Rhinolophus ferrumequinum: one gene and its partners. The protein of the gene in region 1 binds, or shares a complex with, the protein of each later gene. Links are inferred from orthologs where the notes say so. Each region holds a gene or a part of one and is shown on either strand. Other genes may lie near its edges. The genes, in order: GEMIN4, GEMIN2, STRAP and GEMIN5.

Region 1 (7,488 bases):
ATTTCCAGCATCTGATGATACTGTGCTGTGCTAACATCTCACTCTAGCACGCCTTGACATTTAAACATTTTTGAAGAAATTATGTCCTCAAACCAAAAGATTTAGTTAACACCCACACACTCCTTACTTTAAAAGTTTACGTAGCCAGAGAAAACAGACGGAAGAATCTAATAATATGTTGTGCTACCTGCCTAGCTCTATGCTGTTTTCTTATATAATTTTTTTTTAAACCTCACAAGAAGAGAACATGTTGAATTTGGAATAAATGATATCTTCAGCCTGAAAAAAGGTTTTTTTTTAATGTCTTCCTATAGTTTGCTGTTTTGTTCTATAGAACAAATTTTGTAATCACTGGAAACAGAATTATATTGGACATATTTATTATTAAATGTGTTTTGAAGATGTACTTCTAAAATCAAGCTGTTAACACCAACCTGTAAGATTCCTTATTTGAAGTGGTGGCCAGGTTCAAATTTTAGGAAGGAAACTGAGGAGCTTGGAAAGGACTGACTCAGAGGATACCAGTTCCAGAGTAATGCGAGTGTATAAAAATGACTTGTAAATCATAGTCTCTCCTCTTCTCCTTTGCTGGCAGGTGGGATATGGAAATTTCAGGGTTTTTGGCTCACCTTCTTACAGGTGATCTTACCTTCTCTGGGAGAAAAAAATCCTTTTCCAGCTTCAAGGCACTTTTCATTCGACTTAAATTTTCTGTCTTAGGGAAGCTATCATGAGTTTCAAAGCAAACCAAATTATGTGTCCTCCAGACATTTGGTTCCCGTTTTTTTCCTGTATGTAGGGAAATTATTGTACGAATTTTGAATGACCAAATAAACCTCTGTGTCTCTTTGGACTATGATTTGTTAATTCTCAGATTTTCTATTAGAGTATTAAGTAAATCTTGATGTTGATCTCTAGTAATACTGTTCTCGTGAAAAGAAACTACTTTTCCCCGTGTTTTAGGATGCTGTGATGTGGCCTTCTAAGTTTGTTACAGTAAAATAAGTGGTTTATGTAAGTACTGAATGACTAAACACATACTAGATTCCTCTTTGTCTGCTTATCTTGTATTTTAACATACATACCCCCGATTTTTTCTCTTAAATGTACAGCTAGCATGATAGAAGTTGGTGCAATTTACCTACCTGGGATATTTGGGCTTTATGATACCGGCCCTCTTTTATTTATCTCATCACCTGTCATTTTTCCTTTGTTGCAATCTTTAATATTTTACTCATCCTAAAACCCTTTCACATACAACTTTGGCCTTTTAAAGGAATCCAGAGTTTACCTCTGCACAGTACAGCTAGTAATTTTAAACCAAAAGTTATGATTACTTTCTCACCTCTGGAAATGGTGTGATCAACTAGAAAACAAAGTTATAAGAGAAATGCTTTTGTCCACGCTGATGTTTTTAAACAGATGACGCTGGAAATTTTTTCATTTTCTCCAGAGTTATTTTTTCAGAGTAATCATTGTTTTTTACTTGAAGGGTCGTGGAGTCCTAGTGTATTAAGTTTAATAAGTTCAAATATCCCTTGAGTTTACATCCAGAGTTTTAGAATGGCTGTGTTGCCAGAGTTCTCCTTGGTTAACCTGGAGAGTTAGTTAGTATGAAATCCATCACTGCCGGATATCTTGGTGGAATTAGCAAAGACATGGACCTTGAGTGCTCCTTTATGTGACTTTCTGCCCCATCCTACCTATCACACGATGCCATTGCGGTTTAGCAGAGTTTTCAGGAGGGCTCAAACTTGTCCACTGAAATGTATGGTAGGAGTTCATGGGAAGTTCCAATGTGGTCTAAGATTTTATTACCGTTACTGGGAAATACATAGGAAATGTATGCAGGCCTAAATGATCAATAAAGAAGTGCGCTTGCCTCAGACCTGTTTGTGAGGTAATGGAGTCAATGGTTCAAAAATCAAAACAATAAACAATGAAAAGTCAATCCCACTATTTATTAAGCATCAAAATACATACTTCTCCCTTTCCCCCACAAAATTCAGCGCGCTGTGTATGCTATACCTTGCTATAAAAAAAAAGTATCCTACAATTGTGCTACATTTTTACTTTATCAGGTTTTACAGTGACTTACAGAATGGTATGGCTATATCTGCAGCTCCTAAATTGACACCATAGTTTAGAGCAAAATATTCCATTATTTTTACTATTCACACTTAATGTGAATCATGGTTTTAAAAGCATTAAAATGTGTTCATAATATTCTCTAACATTTGTACTGTGTGGTTCTTGCCCAGTTTACTGTTATAAGGAATCGTTCTTTAGTCGCTGTGGTGTCCTGGGTATAGACTTCATTCGTAGGTAATATACTCAGTCTATAGCAAATATGTGAACAGAATATCTTGATACCTGGTGAGATTTGGTTTCCTTTGACTTTCCTCTGAAGTATGTATAATTGTTGCTTATGTTGTTTAATGGTTCGTCATGAACTGAAGCCAACCTGAGGTCATGATCTATGAAAATAATTTTTAATTGAAGTATTGGAAAATTCTACACCGTAGCGGATCTTTTGCTCTGAAATGTCTCTAATAATATCATTTACGACTCCATAGCGCAGTGCATCATTTTGCATTGATGCCTCCATTATAATCACTAAGAAGCAGAAGCTGAGCTCGGGCAGTTTGGCCCTTGCATGGATCAAGAGGTGGGTTGTGCCCCTAAAACAAATCTCATGTACATACATGTCCATATTGTCCCACAAACATCCCCAAGTAGAAACCATGATTAGCTACGAATAGTCCCAAGAAAATTTTGGTTGCTAGGCCTTAGATGAATCTTTCAGAGGCTGGAATTTTGAAACCATCTGTTCCAGTGTCTCTCAACTGCTGTGTTGTATCAGTTACTTCACTAAAAGTCTGACTTCCCTCAAGACATTAACTTCATCAGGCTTGTATTCCAGTAGGGGCTTTTAGTAGTAGGACCTGACTTGAGCTTTTTGGAAGACAATGCCCTTTTCTCCTTTATAATATTGGGTTAGTAGTGAAGGGACAGCCCCTGAACAGATAGGGGCCTCAGCCTCCTCTCCTTCCTCCCATCTTGCCAGAAGCTGAGCCTCTCTCACTGACCTCAAACCTTGGACATTTTCATAGGGTGATTCTTCCTTTCCCCGCACCCCCATTCCTGCCAAATATCTCCATATAATCTGGGAATAGGAAGGCTGGGAACTCTTTACTTAGAATCATACCAAAAGCCTGTTTTGATGGAATTTTCCCTAGAGGAGAGATGCTTTTTATACTTTTTGGACAGCTCCCGAGGACTCTTACTCTTGAGTTTATTGCTTTACCAACAGCACTCACTCTCATGCAGTTTAAGTGATTTATTGATGTCTCAGCGGGACATTTCAACCCTCAAGTTCTCTTAAGAAGCCCTTTTCCCCACCAGAGGAGCCATGCTACTTCATTCTGTTCTGCACTTGGTCCCCTTAACCAGCGTCGTTTTTCTTCAGTTCTTCCACTTTAGCAATATAGATCCTCATGGCGTCCATCTTTGACATCCCTTGGTTCTTGTTCCATGCATCCCACTTGGCCTTGGCTATCACATCTGTGGCAGGCGGGGCAGGGATATTGCAGTCGCCCTGGGTGGCCTGTTTGTAGAAGCTGTACACCAACAGTTTCTCCTGATCACTCACAGGTCCCTTCAACTGCTTGATAGCGGCGCAGGCCATCTCAAACTCCGCTTGGCACATTGAGGGATCTGAGGCTGGGCCCCTCGGTCTTTTCTAGGTGATATCTGGTGCTAAAAGCTGGAGAGTTACAAACACTTCAGGCTGAAGAATTAAGTCTGGGAAGAAGGGAAAGGGAGGAGGTAGGGTAATGTGGGAAGAACCCAGGATATTTGTGTGTTCTCAGTGAGAAATCAAATGTGCGTTTTTATAAAGTACGTACACATTGCAGACTGGGGCCTTTTGGGTTGGATGGATCTCCCCCACAGTTGTGGCTCGCACAGTGCCTTTTCTGGGGAGGACAATCCATTAACATTTCAAAAGAGTCTATGATGCCAGAAAATTAAGGAGCTGCTGCTGTCATCTGAAAGAGGAGCTCTGGGGGCGACTGTGAGGCTGTTGGGCTAGGCGGTTTGTGGGTGTGAGTCCGGGAGAGGAAGCCTGTCAGAGAGTGGCGCGTCGGTGCTGGTTAGTGGGCAGCCCGGGGAGGGTCATTCCGTGTGGGTGAACTCTGTGCGGGGGAATCGAGAATGCGAGGCCGGGGACGGAGCTAATGGGTGGGACCCAGTGAGATCAGGAAGCAGGACTGGGCAGGGGACTAGACAGATGGGGGGCTCAGCGGAGACTGAAAATGGAAGGGGCCGGGCCGGGGGAGAGGTAGAAGCGCCGCCCACCGAGGGAGGGCGGAGTGGGTACCGGCCGGCTGGCGGGTTGGAGGTCTAGGGCCGGTAGGGGGCGCTGTGGGCTTGGCCGCCTCGACGCTGAGGGCTCGTTGGTGAGGAGTGCGCGTGCGCGCGGAGCCGAGCGCGGTCTACCGCGGATCGCGCTGAACTGAAGCTGAGCAGGGACTGGGGGCCGGGACTAAGGCCCAGCCTATTGACCCCCCGCCCCCCGGCACCGTCCATTGTGCCGTGGCGCCTGCGCAGCACTCGCCACCTTGAGGGGGAGGGGCGGCCCGCGCCGCCGCCAGCGACGCCGCCATGGATTTAGGTGGGTGTCCCAGCTCCCCTTCCCCTGGCCGGGCTGTGCTGCGTCCCGCAACGGGCAGGAGGGCGGTTCTGAGCGGGCCCGGGCTAAGGGAGGCCCTCGGGGGTCGGGGAGGGGGTGTGGAGGTCGGGGGTGTCCTCGGAGACTGGGGGCCATGAGGCCGGGCTTTAGCGCGGGCCCCACCACTCCTTGGCTGGTCTCTTGCCCCCTCAGGCCACTTTCCAAGTGAAGGGCCAAGCGGAGGTGAAGTTTGATTTCCTGAAAGTGGAGAGGGTTCGTACACGTGCTTTGGAAAATGCCGGGCTGGGAGGACGCCCAGGGGAATCGCGGATGCCCAGACAGTCTCTTTTATTGAACGTCTAGTAAGTTCCAGAGCAAGTGTTTTACGCTCATGAGTTCCTCATCGATAAAACGGGGACGATAATGTATCCACCTCAGAGTTTTAGGGAGTTTTCCTTGAGACCACGTGTGTACAGCGTCCGTTATAGCCCCATGCGCGTACCTGGCGTTCATTAGACTAGCAGTTGTGGGCAGGGGTTGCAGCAGCAGAGAGGGCACGGGCACCGTGATTCAGAATCCTCGGAGGCAAAGTTTGGGAGAAGGGAGGGAGGAGCTGGCATAAATCAGTGGCTCCTTGCCCAGCCTCTCACGCTTCTGGACATGCTCCTAAGGGGTTGAGACCAGGAGCCTGCTCGGGGAGAGCTGGGTGAGGCACCCCAAGCTGTGCCAGAGGACTAGGCTGTGAAGACAAGTTGTGGTCTCTGACCCCAGCCAGCTCTGACGTGGTGGAATGGTAGGGTTGTGAGAGTTTGGCGCCCTACAGCTGTAGTGACTTATTTCTGTCCTGGTGGAACTGCTCTGTAGTTGCAACATCCTGAGCAAATTGTTTCTGAGTCTCAATGTTCCCATCTCTAAAACAGGAATACTACAGTCCTCAAAAGGTTGATTTGAAGATTAGAAGAGATCTTACATGCGTACCACCTAGTGCTATGCCTGGCACAGAGTAAACACTTGATAAATATAAAGGAGTGGGCACTCACAAGCACCAGTTAATCAGTAGTGATAAAATACTTGGTAATTATCCAGCTATTAACTGCTCCTGGGACTTACTCCTTTAAGTAGCACGGGTGCGTCCTTACTGCCTCTGGAAGGTAGATGTTATGGGCCAAACATCTCTGGTGAGCTGATAGTGCAATAAAATTCAATTTACAGAGTCATAGGGAACATATTTTGGCTCTCTGGAGAGCTGCCTGAGCCAGAACGAAATTCTAGAACCTCCAGAGAGACCCCTTAGCCACCTGACCCTCCCTGGGAGTGGGCCTCTGCCACTGGGAGCCAAGATGAATTGCCTTCAGCACTGGGCTGCATAGAATTGCTGATCCTGTGGCCTTTTGCTGCTCCCATAAATGATCGAAGGAGCAGGATATTCTTTAGTCTGCTGGAATCAGGAGTGTATTGGCTCCCTGCCTGGGATGATGGGTTCTTGGGGGCCTGAGGGACTGAGGAAGGGATGGCATCTCTGGTCCCTGGGAAAGGGGAGAGCAGTCAGGATTATTGAACAGTGAGCAGTGTTTGTACTCTGATTTAGTTTCTGGGACAAAGGAAACACCTGAGAAAGAGCTATGTTTTTTTCCTGTTTCTGAGCTGGGGAGGCAAGAAGTAATGACAAGATTCTGGTCTTGCGGACAATGTAAAGGTTTGGGGAAACAAAACATTTACGGAGCACTTCATCAGGCTCTTTGTAGCCTGATTATTGGAGCTCTCTCTTATTTAACCTTCAGCATCTCTGGGAGATGGGATCAGGAGCTAACAGTGAGCGCCATCCCACTACCAAAGGCTTGACTAGTGTACATCATTTGGTTCTCACAGTCATCATATGAAGTCTGTATTATCCCCACATGTGCAGAAGGCGGGGGGCCTCAGAGAAGTCATCTGTCCCAGATCACACACAGCTTTTAAATGGCTGAGCTAGGATTTAAACCATGTCTGATTAAATTCCCAAGATGCCTTCCTTGATAAGTCCATGTCAGTTCATGGCTCACTGAAGGGAGGCCTTTCTTAATGTAAGTGCAGTAGCTTTTGTATCTGTCCCTTGGTTTCTACCAGAGAACCAGGGCCATGAGTAGCCTATGCTCCTTGATTGAAGGAGCTTTGGGGGTGAATCATTTCCTGAAAGGCAGAACGACCGAAACCTGTTTGCAGGACAAGGCTATGAGAGAAAGCAGGCTGTAAAACAAAAAAAAAAAAGGAGAGAAAGCAGGGAAGGTAGGGCTTGTCTGATTGGCTCTGTTCCCACAGCCCTCCGGCTATGCGCCTTTTAGTTTGTATCATCACTTAGAAACTTGGTTGTCAGGTCCTGCAATACATACCTGCAATACATACTTGGCGGCCCCTGTAGTTTGACACTATCCTTGTGCTATCTCTCTAAACCCTTTCTCCCCGAATCCTGTGCTGGCCCATCCTTTGCTGGAAGGTCTAGCCTCAGAAGTCCAGCTTTTCCTGTTCAAATGCTTTTCCTGCAGGATCCATTCACTTCCTTGGTTCCAGTGATCCCCTCTGGGTCACACTTCAAGGCTGATCTTCCTCCTGAGTTTCAAACCTGCATTTCCATTGCTGGAGGACAGCTCTATCTTAATGTTCTACCTCAAACTCCAAATAACCAAAACTGAACTGTGTTCCCTCTAAACCTGTCCTCATTCTCCTGTGTTCCAAATTTCCAATGGTACCTATTGTCTTCTCAGTTCCAAGCTAGAGAGCTTGGGAGTCCTTTATTCCTCAGGTAAGTCCTTTTGACTCCAGCTCTTCAGCGGCTCTTG
Region 2 (7,464 bases), on another chromosome or scaffold:
TTATATCTAAGCTGATAAAATGTAGGAAATACTACTTTCCGGTATGCATGACAGGCTTCAGTAAAAAGTCACTGGTATTGGCACCATTCTTTCACCAGGAAAATCCAATGAGCCTTTATTCAATCTTTTTGTAAATACTGAAAATGTGTTTATTTCCTAAAAAACAACTGTCTAGAAGAAACTTAAAAACTTGTAGGGGCCTAACAATTACCCATCCAAAGTCTCTGAAGATGTTGTGGATTAAAAGTGTCATAAAAATAAAAGCTTGCATTGCTGATTCTATACTTTTCAGGCTACTAATATAATGAAATTGTTACTATTAATGGTAGATGGGAGGGAATGAAAATTATATGGACTAGGTAAGTAATTTTTAAAGACTGGAAGTAAATATGGACAATTTCAAATAGGTATACACTGTATAACTTCAACAGAGAAACTTACATACCATGGTCACGTTACTATCCAACTGCTGTGATTTCCAGTGATTTCTATGTCTGTTCACACTCTAAAGGAAGAAGAGGTAGACAGTGATCTTCAGAGAATGGATAACTGAAAAGAAATAAAGTGCTGCACAACATTCTAACAATTCTACAACTGGGAAGATATGTTTCAAACTATTACATCTAGTCATTATAATAATAATTTGGTAATTGATTCTTAAATATTCTTTTCTTTATTCTTCAGAATCATGAACCTCATTTTCCCAACTAAAATCTAAGAACAGAAATAAATCTGAGGGAGGGAGGGGTAGTGTTTAATTTGATTAAAAGATTAAGGTACACTTACCTGTCGAACAACTGAAAACTGTGCCACTTGCTGCTGTTGCCACTGAAGTGTGGGGGAATATCCTTCAGGAGCAGGTTGGCATCCTGAAAGCTAGAGATCAGTTCATAATTTTTACCATCAATGTTAGTGTTATAACTAGAGTCTCATGCCCCTGCCAAGTAAAATCAATATGAACAGTGAACAAGAAAGTAAATGATTAAGACTGTACAAGAAAAATAAAGTACTTCTTGCTCATGCAAAAGAGCAGGAATTTCATTTTACTATTTCTGTGTGAGTTTAAAATGTTAGGAAAAGATCCTTATAGAGTCACTTTAATAACAGCAATCTGGAATGGTTTACAGTTGCAGTTTCTAAGAAATCTAAATGATATGAGTCTTGAAGACACAATCTAGCCCTACCTTTCTATAACAGCAAAAACAGTTTGCTATAAAAAAAAAGAGCTATATCCCAGATAAAAAATTTTGGTATAGTCAGAATGTACTCAAATAATTTAAGATATCTGACTTTAAAATGTCTACTTCTTTTTCCAAAAACAGCATACAGTTCACAACTGATCACACACTGCCTTGAAATAAAACTTTGTGAGGTCACTTTTTAAAGCCAGGTATATAAGACATCATCTCCCACCAACTAAAAACTTCTAAAAAGGAATTATATGAAATATTAAAATTTCCTAATTATAAACATCTGATAAGGGAATTACTTAGAACATAAAACGAAAAGGAATAATCACAATTTAAAACTGCTGCTTTCCTTTGACTTTAAATTAAATACTGCCTCCTGGGAGAGACCTTCTGTGACAATCTAAAGTAGTTCTACCTGAAAAAAAAGAAAAGTAATTCTTCTTGTTATTTATTGATCATTATATGTTAATTTTCTTCATATCAATAGTCACAATATGTAATTATTTCACTTGTTTGCTGGTTTACCCTGTCTTCCTCAGGAGAATGTAAACTCCACAAGGGTAGGGACCTTTTCTGTTTCATCATCCCTGGTTATATTTCTAGTGCCTGGCACAACCTACTTGCTTAGTAAAAAATGTGCTGGATAAATGAATGAAAATGTTTACAGTGTGCAAGTAGCTAAAAAAAGTGTAAGATATTTGGGTTTCTAAGTCTTAAAAAACAAAACATAATGAAAATTAGACCATGCAAACTGCACTAAGATTAAACAGTCCAACAATAATTATGAAGACAACTGGAAAAAGGTTACTTCAAAATAAAGGACAGCATAAGTAACCTATTTAAAGACTTCTTTAGGATTGGATCATGTCCTGAAAGTATGAAGAGCAAATCTCCATGAATGCCAGGGTTACTTAAAGCCTCTTTGGCGGCAGTAAATGTCAACTGTCCTTGAAGGGGAAAAAGTAATACAAACAAATGTCTAACTTCGTAGGGGCAGTCAAATTTGACCTACATCGTAATTGATACTGTTGGATACTATAGGAACAGCTTTGTTTTTTTCATTTGTAGTGGTAAAAAAGTCACCTGACGGGTAATAAAACTCACGGAAATATTCACACTTTGCTTCCTTTTCAACTTCTTTGGGTCAATTTGCGCAACCACGACATCTGGACATTGAGCTGCTTCGATCCTATAAATAATAAATGCAAGAAATGTAATTACTATTGAGTTTTGCTCATCTGCAGTTAAACAAGCTATCCATTTCTAAAGTTTATTATGATATCAGACAAAAAGTTCAGAATTGCAATTGAGGTACTAATTAATGTATTTCTGAAATTATATTGAAAGCAAGGAAATCTAAGAGCACACATCTTGCCATGTATAATCAAGTTTAATATAATTAAGTTCACTGAAACTCGTCCACCTAAAAATGCTAACAAGTGATCTTGCTCCGATCCGAACTTGCAGGAGGTTGGGGACCGGAACAGAGGCGGGGCTTTAGCAAACCTAGGGGTCCCGCAAAGCACCGGGCGCTGTGCTCTGGAGCAGGAAGGACGAACAGCCCACCCGCACAAGCCAAATCACTCACTGGACCCGCTTCAAGTATTCCTGAGGCGTCCTCGGGGGTACGGAGGGATCGAAACTTTCTGTCAAGTCGCAGGGATCCACTGGCAACAGCCGGGGCATCAACTCTTCCACTGCAGACTCCGCTGGTACCCACGCCATAGTTTCCAATCCAGCCAGTCCCACGTTTAGGTCACAGCGCAGGCGCACAAGTAGGCATCTTTGGCGCAGAGTGGAGCAAGCGGCGAGGCTTAGGGAGTGTTAATGCGCATGAGCAAACCTGCTCATTGTCTCAAGGTTAAGGCTCCGGTGGTGTAAGGAAGACTGCGAATTTAGTTCCTTGCGGGAGTGGTTCTGAGATGTTTCTGCGTGTTCCCTCTTTTGTCCTGTTCTCTCTTCCAAGGCTAGGTAGGGTAAAGACTGGGGCTTACTAGCCTTTAGGTATCCCTAGTAGCGAGGGATTCTTAAATTTTTTTTTTAATTAATGAGCAACATTACTGTAATTATCTTTTATTGATCTCTCAATTCTTAAACCCTGGCAGACAGGTCACATTTCCTCACTTAAGTTTTACAACCTCTTGAAGTAGGTATCATACCGGTTTCGTAAGGGAGAAAAATCGACCGAAAGAGTGGTTAAGTACTACAACCGTGACTTTTTCCCAAAGGGGAAGAGCCAGTTCCAACCCAGATTTTTCTGACGCCGAGTAAACGAAAAACCGATTTTCCAGAGGAATTTCTTGTGCTTGGCTATTTCAAAGATCACTTTATATTTGTCTGAAATGAATATCACTCCTAGAGTAGCCATCGCTTTTTTTACCCCCTCAGAAAGATCTCTTTGCTGAAATATAAGTAGTGCAAAGGATAAAGCTAATGCCAATACCCAGAAATCACCATTATTAATCTTAGGGCCAATCTTGTGAGGCGAATACTATTGTCTCCATTTTACACTATTGTCTCCATTTTACACGTTCTGCTTTGTTTAAAGCAGAACTAGTTTAACTTTAACTGGGTCATAAATTGCAAGAAATAATGAAAATATTCTATCTCAATCTTTCTAAACAAGCTCTGAGTGAATACAATTGACTTATTTCTAACGTTTATATTTATGACTAAGGCGTTGCTTTTTTTTTCTTTTTAAAGCACTGCCTTTAGCAATTGATTTAGAAACCAGAATGTAACTTACTTAATTGAAGATAAATAGTGAGGCTAGTCCTTATGTTAAAAACGAAAGACTTAGTGTGTATGAATGGTTACTAAGCAATTGGGAGACATGGAAAGACATTGCCTCACAGCAGTCAAAGTAGAAGTTATTTGGTTAAAAATGTTACTGATTTTGGAAGAAACAGACTTAGAGGGAAGGATTATGGAGAAATACTCCCATCCCCAAACTTTTTGGTAATAATCAAGAACAAAATAAGAAAAAATGAGCAGCGACTTTATTTCTGGGTTTTCTTATAAATATTTTTTTTTGGGGAAGCTAACTTATTAGCAATTCACTTCCCCTCACCCATTTTTCTGGAAATAAAGAACAGGTAATTACCAAGTAGACCAACGACCAGTGGAACAATGCTTAACACTGGGCTGCATATATACGACTGGTAAGTACGTGACAGAACTACACATGGATGAAGGAAGAAAAGAGAGGAATAGCAGAATGAACAAAGGTTGTTCTGGGAAATAATAATACACTATTTTACAAAAGACGTAAGTAATAAATGAATGATTCTGAAATGATTCTAAAATTTTAAATACACAGGCATGAATTCATTCAGGAGAGAGGAAAGTAAATTAAAAATTTATAAGCTTTGCTTTTTGTTACTTCAAAACTAATCTGACTTAAAAGAATGAATAACGAGTTTTGGAACAAATTTTAATATGGTTATAAGTTGGAAATTGAATTAAATATTTTTGATAGTTTCAGTAAGATATGGGACAGCGGAGGAGTAGCTATATTTGGTTGATGAAGTTATTCTGAAAAAAATGCTTAATTTTTGGAAAGCTGAACTTTTAAAATAATAACTATTTCATCTAAGCTCTCCCTAAGAAGAACCATTCCTAAGATTCTGAACTATTTCTGGTGCCGTTTTCAAAGATTTCCAGTTACTTCTCAGTTTACAACGGAAAGATTTTTTTGTATTTCAGTATTTCTTACATTGGTGGTTGGTTGTAGGAGTTATATGAGGGTTATGAGAACAATCAACACTGTTTATTGATGATGGTGGCATCTGTTAAGTCATCCTTACACAGGTAAGTGCAAATTTGTCGCTGTGTTTTATATCCCCTTAAGCAACCCAGTTATTCTCAAATTTTAGTGTATATAAGAATTATCTGGAAGAAATTATTTACAATACAGACTCCTGGGTTCTATAACTCTCTCCTCCAGAGAGGTCTGATTCTGTTGATTGGATGTGGGGCTCTGAAATTGACATTTTAAGAAGCATTCCAAGTGAGAGACACAGCTTAGGCCATCCATTTTATTCTTTCCCTTCCTATTCAATATCTACCGCACTAGAATTTCTTCTAAGCGTACTTTCTCAGTTCTTTTTACTTTGGCCACAGTCTAAAATTTCACTTGCCTTTTTATACCATGAAAATTTAATTCAGTCATCCAATTAATATTTATCAGTTTTCTCTTATGTGCCAGGCACTATGGTAGGCATTGGGAATTACAATGATCTTCTTCTCTCCTAGTGCTTACAGTCTAGTGGACAGAGAGATGTTAAACAATGATACAAATGAATTTTAAATGTTAACTGTGATAAGAACTATTAAGGAAAATCTTGAGGGGATGGGGTATGGAGGAGTCTTGTGGTAGGGAAATAAATGAAGACTAAGGAATAAGAACAAGCAAAGGCTATTTATTCAGAGCTTGCTATAGAAAGGGAGTCAGCCACTGCTACTTGAATTTTGGCAAAGACTCAAAGTCAGGAAGAGGAGTAGGAAAGCTTTATACTGGAAAAAGGGGAAGACTGTGTATGCGCTGGTTGGAGGCTCTTGGCTTGGGGAAGTTGGAGGTGGGCTACTATAGGGGAGGTAAAAATACTTTTCCTCTATCCTCTTAGGGCTTCTGGCGGGGCATAAGAATTAAACTGATATAAGACAGATTAACATTAGAAAAGCACACAAATTCTATTCAGTAATTTTAACATGTACATGGGAGCCTTCACAAGAAAAATCCAGGCCCAAAGAAGTTAGGGCCCAAAGCTTACATACTAGGTTGGACAAAGAATAGTAAATTGTGAACATGTAACATGACAAAGGGGGTTGTGCTAGGGAAGTTATTATAATTCTGGAAAAGTAACTAAGAAGATAAGGGTTAGTTGAATAAGATTTGTTTGTATAGCTTTATCTTGGCCTTGAATCTCCATTTCTAATGGTAAGAATGTTTTCCTTCCTTCTGGTATAGGGAGGTGTACCTTTCACATGGGAGTATTATCTCCTGCTTTCAGGAAGAAAAAGGAAGGTCCAAGCACCCATCTTGCATCTGCTGTTTTCCAAGTACCTTTAACTTAAAATAATATGTCAAAGTGGCATATTTTGGGGTGGCATGCTCTGAACCCCTATTCTACTTAGAAGTGGGACACCCTATGAAATTGGTTAAGGGTGTGTATTTGGTTTTCTTTGGTTGGTCCTAAATTGGAAACAGGGAAAAAAATTAGGAAATCTGTCAATTATTAATCAAATCCTGACTATTTTGGGACAATTATTACAGGGGTTATTGTTTGGCTTCTTGGATTGTTGCTGGAGATACCACTCTGACTTCCTGTAAGTTTGACTTATTGCAGGCTGGTTTCCCAGGCTAGTTACTGTAGAACACTGGTTTGATTTCCTGGGATGGTTGCTGCAGACTGTGGGTCGGAGTTCTAGTTTTCCACTTATGGTCTGACCATTGCCCATTTGTATATTCAGTCTCAGCAGGTAGAGGAGAGTTTGTTCAAGGCCTTAATTGCTGGAGGAAGTAGGTTCTGTTGGAAAAATTGGAAAAAGGTCAGTATGGTTGATGCATAGAAAGTAGGGGATGGATGGTGCTGGACAGGGTTCTGAGAAATGGAGCTGTATGTATATAGTTAATACTTATGGAGCATCCTCTTTCCACCAGAACACTCCTTAGTCACATGATTACTGAAACTGGAAGATGTCTCAGTAAGAGGGTGTTAGAACTAACATATTTATTATAGGATTTGGGCTTTGTTTGGTGATTTGGGGACAGTGGAGCTTTGCTGTCAGGAAATGGGGATAATTCTGAGCAGTAAGCTCCTGGTTAAAAACTTATGTGTGATTTTTCAGGCCTGACTTTATGCAATTACAAAGGCTTTACCTGGCAGGCTTCACAGGGGAAAACTGCCCTCCCCACACCAGACTTGGTGCATCCAGCCAGTGCATGGCGGTCTCTGAAGGGAATTGCAGTCAAGGGCTCAGGCCCCACTAACCCGCCATGCTCTTATGCATAGCTGCATTCCTGGCCCAGGTGTCTCTATTTGGAGGTCTCCTTACCTGGAAACTTTCCAGACTCAGTATCCAGACTTTTCTATTCCTAATACCTCTCCATCCCCATTCCATAAATCTGCAGGAGCTTTTTGTTTGGGGCTTCTTCAAGAGTGAGAGATCTCCAGACTTCCACATTTGTGCCCATCCACCTGACCCTCAACCAGTGCGCCATTCCATGGGGGTAACAGAACAGGGAGAGTTAGCGCTTTCACCAGGTTTAGAC
Region 3 (7,039 bases), on another chromosome or scaffold:
CAACCGATGGAGAGAGGGAGGGAAAGCCCTCAGCATTTAGGCCTTCAGATGGCCGCCACTTATTTCGAACTCTATTTCCTCAAACTCTAACGTTCCTCCTACAGACCTTGCTTAACCCTTCACCATCTAGGGGTCCCCACCTATTTTCTCAGGGAAATTCAACTTCTCCCAAGATAAGAAAGGAACCACATCATTGTGTATGGTAAATCACACAAGCTTTGTCCAGATGGTGATGGAGTTTTCCTTGGCCTGGGTTTTGCCAGAGAAACACAGGAATTTTTCAGTGACACCATGGGCTCTGGTTTTATGAGATAAAGATGGTGAGTGATATGATTCCAGATTGATCTCTCCATCACTGAGTGCTGCTGCCATTCTTCGCCTGATTAACGTAAGAACAAGGGCAACTCTCTTCCATGGGTATTAATTTTCTTCCCAACACAACATGACCTAGCATTATATGAGGAAGGTATAATCTTCATACTGATGTGACTTTGACTCTATTCTTTTGGGAAAAAAATAACACCTGAATTCCTGGATATGAATCTTTTGATTTTTTCCCCCGAGCATATCCATATTACTAGAACTATCACTTTAGTTTAGAATCACTCTTTATGAATCATTTAGGGAAAATGGTACCAGCTCTAATGGATTCTTTTCTGACAATGTAATATTTCCTCTCAGGCAAGTGTGGATGATGGGGTAGGGGGATCGCATTTTATCCCATCAAATTATCTGTATCTCTATCTCTACCTCTATCCACAAAACCATGACAGCTGATCTTTCTAGGGTAGAAGCAGAACCAAAAGTATTCATATTCAGTCTCCTGTCTTTGACTTGACATGTAATTTGAGATTTCTCACCCCACAAGAGGCTGATTTCATTTCAAAATCATAAACTAATACTCATTCTTCTAGCTAAAGTTCTAAATATATAGCCAAAACACTTTGTAATAACAGAGGAGAATCAAAAAGAATACACTGACACTGTTCTTATACAAGTAACAGACCAAATTAATGCAACTGTCACCATCTACTGATGAGTGACGTGGGATCTTTCCTTTAAAAAAGTATTGTTTTTAAACAAAATAAACATAAATGTAAATGACAAATAATTACTGAAAAAAGGTGAAATGTGTAAAAATTTCCTGACACTCTCTAAAAATATGAAAAGATGAACTCTATAACAAGAGACCAAAATAATATTAATAATAATAATAATAATAATAATAATAATGTGAAAACAAATGGAGATACAAAGACAGAGTTAAGGGAAAAAAACTGAATAAAAAAAATAAAAGCATGAATGTGTGAAAAAGAATATAAATGGAGCCACTACAAAACAGAGTTGGAGCCACCATCCCAGAGGAATTGCTTGCATGTCTTACTCCTCAAACCTTCGGAATGTTCGAAATGGGCAAAATAACCTTTGGACTGAGCCAAAGCAACACTGTATTCCAAATAAGTGTTTGCAAAACTAAAAGGAAAGTATACATCCTGATTACCACACTGAAAATTAAAAACATTTTTTAGAATTAGCACCACCATGTGTAGTTAAAGAATAACTTAGTATATGTGTACCTATACAAATTTCTTCCTGGACTTAACACCCATAGAAAATCTGTCCTTCTATTCATGTAATTACTGCCCCTCCTTTTGTCATAAATACCCTTGCTTTCCTTTTCTAATTGTAACACTGTTGCGATATCTGCCTGAATCACTGCTTCCCAGAATTGCAATTTTTTAATCTCAAATAAATGCTTCCTGCCTCTGTAACTTTTTAGGTTAATAAATATGAAAAGAACATTTGAAACAGTGAAAAATAATTGACTCACAACAGTTAAAAAAAAAAAAGTGGGAAAAACACCGAGTGCAGTAGGAAAGATGTAACTCAAAGGGAAGAAAGTAAATCAAAATAGGTAACTGTCTGAGACTTTGACACACTCAAATTATTTTCCTGGTCTTCCTGACATGGATGCCCAGCTAGATTATATTTTCCAAACCCTCTTGTGGCTATGTGTGGTCACTAGTCCCATATCTCACCAATGTAATGTGTTATTGAGTTAGGCAAGACATTTGCTTGGACAAGACTTTTTCAGATTTGCATTGTAGTCTGAGTCTCTTTCTATGCGATTCTCTTTTATTTCTCACCCTTTCACAAGTATCAGGCCAGCATTATGGCCTGAAGGCTCTCCCTGCCTACTTCACTCCCTTTTCCTTTCAGCACTCACTTGTACCCGACCTAATAGGAAATACTTTGTGTTTCATTATTAGGTGTGATGTTTCTTAGGATCTTCTATTAGGTCCCTCCTATTTCTAATATCTAGAAGTTTATCATGAATGGAGGTTGAATTCGATCTAAAACTTTTTACATATTAATATTTTTCTTTTAGTCTTCTAATGTGGTAACTATGTTAGTTGCATTAATCTGTCTTCTAATAGTAACTGACCTTTGAAGCCAGTTAATCATTATACATACTTTTAGAACTCAGAATCCAAATGAACAGGAACTATACATTCTTTAGAGCAAAGTAGTTATCAGTTATATGTTTACCTGCATACAATGAGCAATATATGGGCAATATTAATAGTTTACCAAATAGTTGTTTTAATTTGCGTTGTGTTTTTTATTTACCTCCATCAGTAACGCAGTTATTTACACAATCAGTAAACGAGCATTTGTTAAGGACACACTATCCATGAATAAATGCCATTCACTCTTCTGGTACTAGAGCACAAACATGACAAAGCCATAACCATTGCCATTAAAGAGCTCATAATTCAGGTGTGTGAATGGAGTATGTGTATGGGTGTGTTGTGTCTAAAATATCATGTAGAAACACATACAGTAAGTGTGGCACAATAAATGAACAAAATTGTGGAATTTAATTAAGGAATTAAATTCGGGAAGCACTTCAAGTCCCTATTCAAGTCATTGGACTTGAATCGTGAATGATACATGTTCAGCACAAAAAAGATGATGGTGGAGAAGGAAAGATTCACAGACGTTGGTACTAGTTGAATATTTATTGGTATGTGCCAGGACATTAAGGCCTTGGGGATAAAGCAGGGATAATTCACAAAAATCTCTATTTCCGGTTTAAATTATATCATCAATGGAAAGAAACACCATTCCCAAAGAAAGCAACTTTCCTGCTTAGGAAAGCTTTTGTATGAGCAATCAATCAACAGTTCTGGTTGATACACGGAGCAGCAATACTGAATCGGGCTGCCTGCAGGAAGACAGTACCAGAGTTCATTTATATTCAGTTTTTCCAGTCTTCTAATATTACTCTTTTGTTCGTTATAATGTATATGTAATTTACAGTTATCTGTATATCGGGAATGCAGGCTCAACTTTTATTAATGCGAATATTTCCTCAAAAAGGTTTGGGGACCACTGCTCTAGGGTACTCCGAATTCCTCAAAGGAAAAGTAATTGGAATTTAACTGTATTTAAAGCGACATAACACTCATGTCTAAGACACTAGCAATACAGGAATGTCACATAACAGAACGAGTGGCTGGGGAAATTACTTTTTTAAGGGCCTTACTTGTAGACAATCCCAGAGGAAGCTGCTTATACAGTTGTTACAAAAATTGAAAAAAAAGTTCTTAGACTTTGTTTGCAGGTTTGGCCGGCCGCCGTAAGGGGAGAAACTCGGGTTTTACTGTCCTTCTGTCCAGGTACCGACCACAGTCCCACTGGTGGTGTTGCTTGGTGCGTAACCCACGGGAGCCGGCTGGTCCACGGTCTCGGCGAAGCAGGGACACCTTTCGTACCCGGTGAACTCGACACGGCGATAACAAGGCCGTTTACGCCTGGTCAGAGCTCAGCGTGTGGGACTTTGCGAAAGCGCCTAGACTAGACCATCTCCAGGCGCCGTACGAAGCCGGCGCGGGGCGAGCATCACGTGCCCTACGTGCGCTGATCTCGCGCCTGCGCGCTGCTGTCCTACTGGCTCATTAGGGCTCTTCTACCCGGCAAACTCGCCTTCCCTCTGTATCATCACTTCCGGCGGACGCTGAGCGTCATTGGAATCGTCACTTCCTGCCGGTAGCGGTGTGGACGGTGCGGGCCGTGGCCGGGCTTCTCCGAGTCTCCCCTTCCCCTGTTTTCCTTCCTCCCTCCCTCTCCCTCTTTCTGCGGCTGTGGGTGGCCCGTCGCAGACTCCCTGACCCATCCCTAACCTTTTCCTAATTTCGGTGTCACTGGATTGGCCTCCTTTTTCTGTTTTCCGGTCCAGCCCCAGTGTCAGGGCGGGGGCCTTGAGGAGCCAGAGACGCTGCAACTGAGGAGAGAAAAGAAGGAGACGAGACCCCCGGCTCCCCAGCCCGCCAGCTTGGTTCGCCGCCGCCATGGCAATGAGGCAGACCCCGCTCACCTGCTCCGGCCACACGCGGCCTGTGGTTGATTTGGCTTTCAGTGGTATCACGCCTTATGGCTACTTCTTAATCAGCGCTTGTAAAGGTGAGCAGGGCTGCTGATCCTGGTTTCCAGACGTCTGGGACTGGGCCGAAACGGAATGGAGCCGGAACTCCACAGTGCCGGAGGGGTTGTGGGCATCTCAACCTTTGAGATGACGGTCAAAGAGTAGTGTTAGGGGTTCCGTAGCGGCAGCCAGAGGAAGCTTTTCTGACACCTCCGACAAGGCTAGGTATTGCCTCCAACTAAGGCTGCTCATTTTACTTTTATTGCTATTTCTGGAGAAGCAGAACTGTAAACTTGCCTAGACACCTTGGCCGCCAAACTGTAAATATCTTTCAAGGGTTTCGGCAATGGGGAAACGAGACCAGATGAAGGAATACTTTACCAAGACTTGTCCCTCATATTATGTCATTGGATATTCCGTTGTGGTATTAGCCCCATTTTTCAAATGGAGACTGAGATTTAAGTTAACAAGTTTGTCCAAAATAAGACTCGATTCTAGATTGTTCTGTTGCAATTCAGTATTCTAACCAAATTACAGATGCATCCCAGAGAGAATCTCTGGCTCAGTTCTTCAGTTAATTTATGAAGTTAGTTTAGTTGTACGCGTATGTAGTTACCTGTAATTTATTTCTGAACATTCCTTAGTGACCCCAGTGAAAATAGTTTAGACAACAAAAGCAATTTTTCCACTTGGTTATTCATCATGATTTTATGTTTGAATCATAGATTTTAAGTAATTTGAACTTATAAATCACAAGTCTTTTTAAATATTTTTTAGACGGTAAGCCTATGCTACGCCAGGGAGATACAGGAGACTGGATTGGAACATTTGTGGGTCATAAGGGTGCTGTTTGGGGTGCAACATTGAATAAGGATGCCACCAAAGCAGCTACAGCAGCTGCAGATTTCACAGCGTAAGTATAGCCAAAATGGCCAGCTTTGGGGATCTCTGTGGGTTGTGTTCTGAAATAATCAAACTTCAGCCTGTTATAAAATTCTAATTCAATGCATATGAATGTTTGTTCTCACCAAAATTGCACCGTGGTCCTGTCTGCTGCTTTCTCTTCAGTGGTTCTTAACAATTTTCAGAGACTTAAGTGATTTATTTAGCTTGTCTGGACCTGGGAATCTGCATTATTAACGAGCACTGCAGATAGTAAATGTTGGGGGTCATGTTTAGAAATATTGCTCCACCTGTGCTTCCTGAGTGATACCTATAAACTCCTATGACTTTCTCTTGCTAACGGCCCCAGACTTTTTAGCCTGATCTCACTCTCAGTTTTTGTTAACTGGCTTTAGACATATTTAAAACTTCCATCAATTGCTCTTCATTTTCTAAGTTTAAGTTCTTGATATTTCCCTTATATCCAGATTATCTTCGTATTTGTTGATTATACCATCTTAATGCCTCCTGACTACAATGTTTCTTACGCCTCTGCCACTGCCTTAGTTCAGGTCCCTGTCACTAGTCTCTGGTCTATTCATTTTCCATAGTGCTTCCAGTTGTCTTTCTAAAAACAAATTTCATTATGTCACTTCTTTATCTAGTGATCTTCCTGTCTTCCCTCTGCTATTTCAATGGTTCATGACCTTGGGTGTACATTAGAATAACCTGGGGATCTTTTAAAATACTCAGATGCATATGTCTCAGAATTTTTTATTTAATTAGTCTGGGGATGGAGTGCCCAGTATCAGTTTGGTTTCTTCCCCCGTAAAGTTGTCACAGGTGATTTTGATGTGCAGCTTTAGAACCACTGGCCTAAGGATTAAATTTCAGTTGTTGGCACTTTAAGATTCGGCCGCATCCTAGTTCATTAGCATCATCTGGTACTGCATACTATATGCCCTACAACCTAGCTATATTACCTATTTTGATTTTTGGTTTTTGCATATATGTTATTACAGTGACTTGCAATGACCCATTTTTCCCTTCTGGGCGTGTATCATTTTGTATAATCTTTGCATTTCCAGTTTCTAAGTGTATTTGTGACTTAGCAGATACTTAAATGTTTAAACTAATGAAGGCAATATCAAGATCTATTGTACTCGTTCGTATAAAATAGACTTTGTAAGACTTAAGAGTCAGGAGAGTAAAAGTGGTTTTGTTGGTTTTTTGTCTTTAAGACAGAATTTCACACTGAGGAGCAATTGTAAATGTTTTGCTCCTTTGTTTTGAACAAATTAACGTACCAAGTTTATTATGAAAAACAAAGGCAGAGTGATGGTGGTGGATACATGACTGCATTTGTTGAAACTCAAAGACTTCTATACTGCAGTGAATTTTACTGTATGCAAATTTTAAAAATGAAAATTTAAAATGAGAGGGAGATGTAGTGCTTACATGGGATTAAATTAGACATGGTAAGAGATCAGTAAGAAAAGTTGTGTTAGTCTAAACTTTTTTGTGTGTCATCGATGAGTAGATTGCTATTATGTCTTTAGGCATCACCACTATGAGGCTTGTGCTGAGCCCTGTTGCGATTGTACGTAATATTGATAAAATAGGGAAATGCTTGGTTTTATATAAGTTCATTTTATGTCAACAGACAGCTTTAGGTCATATGTTGCTTTAGATGTCAGCGTGCCTATAAGGTGACAGAGACTCCTTTGA
Region 4 (7,274 bases), on another chromosome or scaffold:
GAGATAATTTCTACCCTTTACTTTGGAAAAGTCTCTTACAAGTGACTTAACTAAATAGAAAAGGAGGCTGATTTATGTTTCAGTTTCTTATCTTCTGGCTAAGTGTTCTATAGAAGTAGGGCTGACAGATGAAATATGCAATCTCATTTAAGAGTATTGAGTGGTTACTGATTGGTTCCAGCATAATATCTGATTCCTTGGAAAGAACGTCATGACGTTATCATCCCTGTCCCTACATCTACCTACACAGTACCAGGCACTACAACAGACATTTTACTATTGATTCTCTCAATTCTCACAACCACCCTCTAACGTAAATATTATTCTCATTTTTTTGAGATGAGGAAACTGAGCCTCAGAGAAGTTAAGTAAAATGTTAAGGGACAATATTTGTCCCTGGTAGAGACCAGCTCTATCTTCTGTAGCCCACTGTTTATTCAAATACATCACACTGCAGTAGTCATTTTTCCACCAAACTGCTAATGCACGACATTTTCAACTTTTTCTTGTGGGGAGTTTTAACCTATGTACATCTCAGTCACTAGTGTCTTCAAAGTTTTACACTAGCCCTTCTATTTCTAAACCACCAAAATGTATTCTTCATTCAAAACTTAAGTCACCTCTTCCCAAAAAAACTCCCCAGAAAATCTCTTCTGAGCCCATCACTCTCTCTCTCACATGGTGTGGGAGAACACTAGTGAAAGCCAGAGAATTTTTTGTTTATTCCTAGGTTTGCCATGTATTAACTCTGTAACCTTTAGTAAGTCACAAAACTTCTCAAATGCATCCATCAGTAAAATGGGAGAGTTGGAATTCAACAGTTGGAAAACTGCCAGCCTGCTACCAAATATAGCCTACAGAAAAGTTTTATTTGGTCAGCAGCATTGTTTCCTTAATCCAACTAAAAGCCTTCATATGAGGAATGCACTCTACGGACTGCCGTAGGCCCGACCACTCTCTCATTTTACATGGACCGCTTCTCCTAATTCATTTATTTCTATTATGTGTCTGGCAGCCATTAAAGTTTCCAATCTCTGAATTAGATGATCTCTAAGATTTTACACAGTTATCATGAGCATTATTTATACCTTTTCTACTTAGTTTTTATGTGATCATTTCCCATTAGAAAATCCAGAATAGGGATTCTTATAATTATGTAACTTCAGAACTAGAAAGAGCCTTAGAAATTATCTAGAAAAATCAAACCGTCTTGTATGATAAGGATAAAAAGACTGAAGCCAAATTGCTTAAGTTACTTGCTCAGAGCTTCCCAGTATAAATCAGTGCAGGGCAATTTAAATCAACAAACAGTAACAAAATACTCACTTTGCGCAAGACTCTATGTTGGAGCTCAAAAAAAAACCAAGAACTGACCCTACCTGTCCAGGGGACATAAGCTAGTAAAAGCTCACAGACACGTATACGTGAAGCGACTATTCAAGGCAAACATGCGAAAAAAGGAGAAATTTATTTCATTTTTAGTGAGAGCTGAGAAAACCTCCTGAAGGGGAAACATCTGAACAGGATTTTAAATAATCAGGAGTGCTGTGATAGACAGCAAGTGAGGGTCGAGCATGAAAAAGCCAAGTGTCAAGTAAACGCACAACATATTCAGAAAAAGTAAGTAAAGCAGCATGGCTGGGATGGAGTGATAGAAGATAATCTAAGAAAGCAAAGTGTAGACAAATTCTAAGGGCCAGCGCCCACTATTTTCTTCTTTAGCCCGCCTCATCCTCCCCCTGACCCAAGAACCCAGGACAGAGCTAAAAGTAATGGGAACTCAATAATAATTTATAACAATAAAAAACAGCAAGAGCAGCTAAAATTTAGGGTGGGATTATTATATGCCATACACTGTATTACATACTTCCTATTATTCAATCCTCATTTAAAAAAATCTCACGTAGGTAATAATACTTCCATAGCATATGAGAACTGAAACTTAGAGATAAGTAACTTTCCCCCAAATCACACAGTTAAAAAGTAGATTCACACATGACTTAGCTGTCTCTAAAGCGTATATAAACCAAATAAAGGCTAACAAATGCACTGATCAGCAAATTTACAATCAAATTATCAATCTCCAAATATCGATCACTGTACTGCAAAAGAGGGACAATGAAAAGGAGAAAGGGAAAGGCTTCTTTTGAGTCCTGACTCAACTGCATTCCTGAACCTTAAAGAACAGTTTTGTCCTGCGGTCAAAGGACGCTCTGAGGGTAGTATAAAGCTTCAAAACTTCCTATAACTGGGGGACCTTAGGCAAGTTATTTTACTTTTTGGAGCTCCAATTTCCTTGTCTGAAAGATGGGTATAGCAGTATATATACTGCATAGGATGTTATGAGAATGATATAACGCATATAAAGCATGTCATACAAGGCCCGAGGTAAGCCGCGGCTGTCTATAATAGTCCCGGCTCGAGTAAACAAATAACGAGAGAGATAACTAGAAAAGTTGGATGTTCCAACATGGCTGGGAGAATCTAACCACGTTCAGAAAGATCAGAAGAGACTGTTCAGAAAAGACATTTACAATATCCCTTGGGTAACAGGTCATCCCGATCCCTTGAGGGCTATGCAATACGGCGGCAGAACGATAGGGTGACAAAGCAAAGACTAGCTGGCACCTCCATGGCCCCAGAGCCTAAAGCAGAGCCTGGCACATAGGCTCTTAGCGATTGACAGACTGGTAAGGAGGCCTTGGGCCCTTCTGCTACTCCGAGGAGACTTACCCCACGGCCAGCTTCCCCCTCAGATTCTGCATCCATAACGTACCTGCAATATAACACAAGCCGTCAACGCAGAGTCCCACTTCCACTCCCTTCTACCGCCCTTTAATCATTAAGAAACTCTTACCCAAACGTTCCAATATTCCTGCCGCCATCTTCCTCCCACCCTCTACGGAAGCCTCCGAGTTCATGCACCGTCCGGACAAGACGCATGCGCAATTCCCCGCATTTCCTCCCCAGCTGAAAACCCAGCAGTACCCGCGGTGTTGTCATGGAGACTACAAACACGCTGCCGGCGCTTAAAGTGTGATCAGCCTAACCTTGCTTGGGAATGAATGATTTAACGAAGGCCGAAAACTAGTGAGTTTCCGGAAATTCACCGGGATCCAGAAAAAATGCGAAACCTCACCACACAAATGGTCTGAAAGGATTAGGAAAACAGACCGTGAATGAGCCACCTAACCTGGGTGGGCCTCAGGTTTACTAGCCAGCAAAATAGTCAGAAATAATTATCCCTACAGCACAGTTTTGTTGTAAGATTACTAGAGATCATGTGAAAAGCTCTTTTAAAAAAAAAAAGCAGTTCAAATACAAAGTATGATGTCTTAATCCCTATTAATTTCCAGGTTGACCTACAAGAGATAAAAATTAATCATCGGGCACTTGCTACCATATATGTCCAGCAAGCATTTCACTAAATCTCAAATATTCCTCACAGCAGCCCAACAAGTCATGGATTATCATCCTCTTCAAATAAAAAAACAGATTTAGAATAGATTAAAGTCTCTTAGATAACAACTGGCAAAACCACGTAGTAGTCAATCTAGATTGGAAGGCTCCAAAATTAGTGGCCCTACCCACATCCAAATATATGTCTGACCTTTCTATTATTTATTAGATCTCTCAGGTTTCGTTTGCTACATATGTGGGAGTGCCAGATAACCAATGCAAACAAGCAATACAGGCGTAAGACAGCGTAAGCGCAGAAGTCTGAGCATTTGGGCATGTTTGATTTGGAAGGACACTGCCATTCTTTTGCCTCCACAGCAACTTAAGTAGGCATCTGGTCAAATCAAGAGTCACTCTATTCTGCAAAAGAACCCAGAGCCTGCATTTCCCAGTTGCACAAACTCTTTCCTTGTTGATTTCTGATTCGAACTTTTACATTTTTGTTCATTGGCTTCTTGTAGGAATCTTTAAAGCATCTTCAGAACTAGCAAAGTGCCCGAGCACACAGTGTTCAACTACTGATGAGACAGTAATTGAATAGGTCCAAAGAAAAAACCCGCGGTGAGAGAAGGTGATTCCACCAGTCTAACCCCTTAATTATGTACCTTGGCTGTAGGAGGCGAGAATGCCTAAGCCCAAGGCTAGGCTCAGGCAGCATCAAAGCATCCCGCCGAGGGCGAGGTTGGGAGGCAAATCGCCCAGAACGCGGCCCCGCCCTTCCAAGCTCCGCGGCGGCGGGAGAGGAGCGCGTGGTGCGGCCTGGGCCTCTGCGCGCGCCGTAGCAGCAGGCCCGGGGAGGCGGGGCTCCACGCTGACCCCGCCCCCTTCCCAGTTACAGCGTGGGGCGGTGAACGGTCTGTCCTAGCGGCTCTTTCCCTCATCATCCCTGGTGGCCCGTGATCATGGGACAGGAGCCGCGCACGCTGCCACCCTCCCCTAACTGGTACTGCGCCCGATGCAGCGATGCTGTGCCCGGGGGCCTTTTCGGGTTCGCGGCGCGGACCTCGGTCTTCCTTGTCCGCGTGGGCCCGGGCGCAGGCGCGATCCCTGGGACGCCCTCCTTTCGAGGTAACTCATTACCCGTTTCCCGCTTTTCCTGCACTTCTGGTGTTCCCCTGAGGCGCCGATGGGTGTCTTCAGCCATACCTCCGCACAGATGGGGAAAGTGAGGCCCCAGCAGGGAGAAAGGTTTGCTCACAATCCCCGAGCTGAGTCCTGTCCTGATCTCCCAGTATTGAGCTACACCACGCTGTGCATGAGCGGTCCCACCTCCCGGCGCTCTCACGTGGGCCTGCTCGCTTACTGAAAAGTTATCCAGCTCTAGACCCAGGCACTTGTAACATTTGTAGCCTTCCTCTCCCACCCAGTGCGGGCAGACCCCCTAGGAGCCTCCCTGGGGTTAGGAGCTGCTTACAGCGCCAAGCCCTAAGCAAGATCCTGCAAATATTTGATACTTGTTTCTTTCAGATTAGAAACTAGATTTTGATTATTCCTTGGGATATGGCAGGCCAGATAGTTATTCTATTCCAAACCACCTTGGCCAGATCTAAGAATCACATTCTTCATTTGAGCTGCTCCTCAGCCTGTGAACTAGGCACATCAAGGGGTATCAACAACATTTTACAGTTGAGAAAACAGACTCGATGGGATAAAATGACTCAGGTGAAGTCATGTGGCAGAGCCAGCACCAGTATTTGAGGTTTCTGGATGTTTGTGTTACACCAGGGGACAAGTGAGATCCCACACATCATCTAACAGTGTGGTTCTGCCGGAAATGGAAGGTAGCACTTTAATCTGAAGTCTGATTTTGCTTGAAGTCATAGGGGAGTTGGTGGGACACACCGAAAGGGTCTCTGGCTTCACGTTTTCTCCTCACCCGGGTCAACACAACCTCTGTGCCAGCAGCTCCGATGATGGGACTGTGAAAATCTGGGATGTCGAGACAAAATCAGTGGTGACAGAACATGCACTCCATCAGGTACCATGGCTTACTGTTATTACATAGCTGTGCTGAGGGTTCTTTTGCTTCAAGTATAGTTTTGCTAGCTCACCTGTGCAAGATAACTTTTGTAATTGTGTTCATTAGATAAGAAGCTCTACATTGTAAGAAACTTTTTAGGAAGGAGATCAGCGAACTAATTGCACTGCTGCCTGTTTTTTTGGAAACTGTTTTACTATAATACAGCCACAGTCATCCATTTAAATATTGTTCACACTTTAAGTATTGACTATATCCACAGAGTTGAGTTGAGTTGAGTTTTAACAGAGACATTGTGGCCCACAGGTCTAAAATACGAAAAAGACTCCTGATATAAACTATAAATGAGTGAACCAGAAAGTTCTTTCTAAACCAGATGATTACTTTGTATACCTGCCTTTTGAGAGAATGTGGGAAAAGAGTCACTTAATCTTAGTAAGAACTTTGCATTAAGCTATTAAAGAAAGAAATTATTTTAAATGACTCTATGTTGGTTTTGTTTTGAAGCATACAATATCAGCATTGCATTGGTCTCCTCGAGTAAAGGACTTAATAATATCTGGAGATGAAAAAGGAGTCGTTTTCTGTCACTGGTTTAACAGAAATGACAGCCAGTACCTCTTTATAGAACCCAGAACAATTTTCTGTCTTACTTGCTCACCTCATCATGAAGATTTAGTAGCTATTGGGTGAGTACTATACCATCTGTATTGATAACTTATTTTTGCTTCTGATTGTATTTTGCATTTGCTTTACCTTCCCCTGTCCCTTTATTCCTCAAAGGAAACCATTTACAGGTGTTAACCACTCCCCCTGAGCCCTTGGTATCATTTATTCCTGTGACCTCCAAGTCCTTACCACCTCTCCCAGTCTCAGTTTTTGTTTCCTTGATTTCCACAATACTGTAGTTTTCTCGTTCTTCACATTTGATTTCTCCAGTCAACCTCCAAATGTAGGAATTATCCTCTTTTAACTTTTTCTCCCTCTGTACTTGCCTTTGGATATAACATTTACTACCAGAGAGTCAAATGACTCAGCTCTGTCCCTCTGTTTCTCGGCTCTCCCTCTAGATTGGGAAAGTGATCTGGCATTGGGATTTGACTCCTCATTGGTCACCAAGGTGATTTCACACGAGCTGCCTGAGTGGGCCTCCCGCTTTCTCTCACCACTCCATTTACTTCTCTCCCAAAGATGTCCATTTCGTCTCGTTTGAAAACTGGTTAAACACTAGAGTGTTAGAAGAGAAGGTCTGACTGGAGTGGATTCAAGAGACTGGGGGGTACGGTAGTAAAGATACACATGGAGACCACGCTTTCACACGGTTGTAAAGATATGCATTGACATGAAGCCAGAGGGAGTAATGGGGGTCAAGGGAGTAGTAAACAGAAGATAACAAGGGCATGTTTTTATACTGATGGAAATGAGACAGAAAGGGGAGATCTTGATGCAGGGACAAATCGTGATAAATATAGGAGCAATGTTGAGAAGTCAAGAAGGGACTGGACCCAGATCACAAGTAGAACAGCTGAGACTATGGGAATGGGTACAGGTATGTGTGTAGTTCTAGTTGGAAGAGGAGGGTGCTTCATTCTGATGGCTTCCGATTTTCTCTGAGGCATGAAGTCAGAGAGGTGGAGTCAAGTTCAGGGTGGGAATGGGACTGAATGCAGGAATAAGGTATGAAAACAGTCATCTCAGAGAACAGGACAGTGAACTTACAGAGGGAAATGCTAGGCCCAGTGGTCCCTGTTGAGCGCCACGCTAAGGATCGTGGTCATGACTTGAAACTATTCAAGCCGGTTGAGAAAGGAAATGGTTGGATTCAATCAGGTTTGGA

What was found.
Region 2: GEMIN4 (region 1) and GEMIN2 share a complex: the UniProt entries of both Homo sapiens proteins name them as parts of the SMN-Sm complex. The link is inferred for Rhinolophus ferrumequinum from reciprocal best matches to the Homo sapiens genes GEMIN4 and GEMIN2.
Region 3: GEMIN4 (region 1) and STRAP share a complex: the UniProt entries of both Homo sapiens proteins name them as parts of the SMN-Sm complex. The link is inferred for Rhinolophus ferrumequinum from reciprocal best matches to the Homo sapiens genes GEMIN4 and STRAP.
Region 4: GEMIN4 (region 1) and GEMIN5 share a complex: the UniProt entries of both Homo sapiens proteins name them as parts of the SMN-Sm complex. The link is inferred for Rhinolophus ferrumequinum from reciprocal best matches to the Homo sapiens genes GEMIN4 and GEMIN5.

Annotation. Positions count from the first base shown.
Region 1 is NC_046304.1:16,944,380-16,951,867, reverse strand, and holds the start of GEMIN4 (gem-associated protein 4), read left to right. Parts: upstream 1-4,480; 5' UTR 4,481-4,665; coding exon 4,666-4,675; intron 4,676-7,488. Other genes in the region: diazepam-binding inhibitor-like 5, read right to left, coding at 3,446-3,709. UniProt on the Homo sapiens protein: The SMN complex catalyzes the assembly of small nuclear ribonucleoproteins (snRNPs), the building blocks of the spliceosome, and thereby plays an important role in the splicing of cellular pre-mRNAs.
Region 2 is NC_046289.1:86,467,700-86,475,163, reverse strand, and holds the start of GEMIN2 (gem-associated protein 2), read right to left. Parts: upstream 3,008-7,464; 5' UTR 2,916-3,007; coding exon 2,779-2,915; intron 2,380-2,778; coding exon 2,274-2,379; intron 877-2,273; coding exon 787-876; intron 506-786; coding exon 446-505; intron 1-445. UniProt on the Homo sapiens protein: The SMN complex catalyzes the assembly of small nuclear ribonucleoproteins (snRNPs), the building blocks of the spliceosome, and thereby plays an important role in the splicing of cellular pre-mRNAs.
Region 3 is NC_046293.1:29,905,115-29,912,153, forward strand, and holds the start of STRAP (serine-threonine kinase receptor-associated protein), read left to right. Parts: upstream 1-4,030; 5' UTR 4,031-4,355; coding exon 4,356-4,467; intron 4,468-5,206; coding exon 5,207-5,342; intron 5,343-7,039. UniProt on the Homo sapiens protein: The SMN complex catalyzes the assembly of small nuclear ribonucleoproteins (snRNPs), the building blocks of the spliceosome, and thereby plays an important role in the splicing of cellular pre-mRNAs.
Region 4 is NC_046307.1:25,753,428-25,760,701, reverse strand, and holds the start of GEMIN5 (gem-associated protein 5), read left to right. Parts: upstream 1-4,270; 5' UTR 4,271-4,361; coding exon 4,362-4,527; intron 4,528-5,276; coding exon 5,277-5,437; intron 5,438-5,944; coding exon 5,945-6,126; intron 6,127-7,274. Other genes in the region: MRPL22 (39S ribosomal protein L22, mitochondrial), read right to left, coding at 2,734-2,776, 2,858-2,921. UniProt on the Homo sapiens protein: The SMN complex catalyzes the assembly of small nuclear ribonucleoproteins (snRNPs), the building blocks of the spliceosome, and thereby plays an important role in the splicing of cellular pre-mRNAs.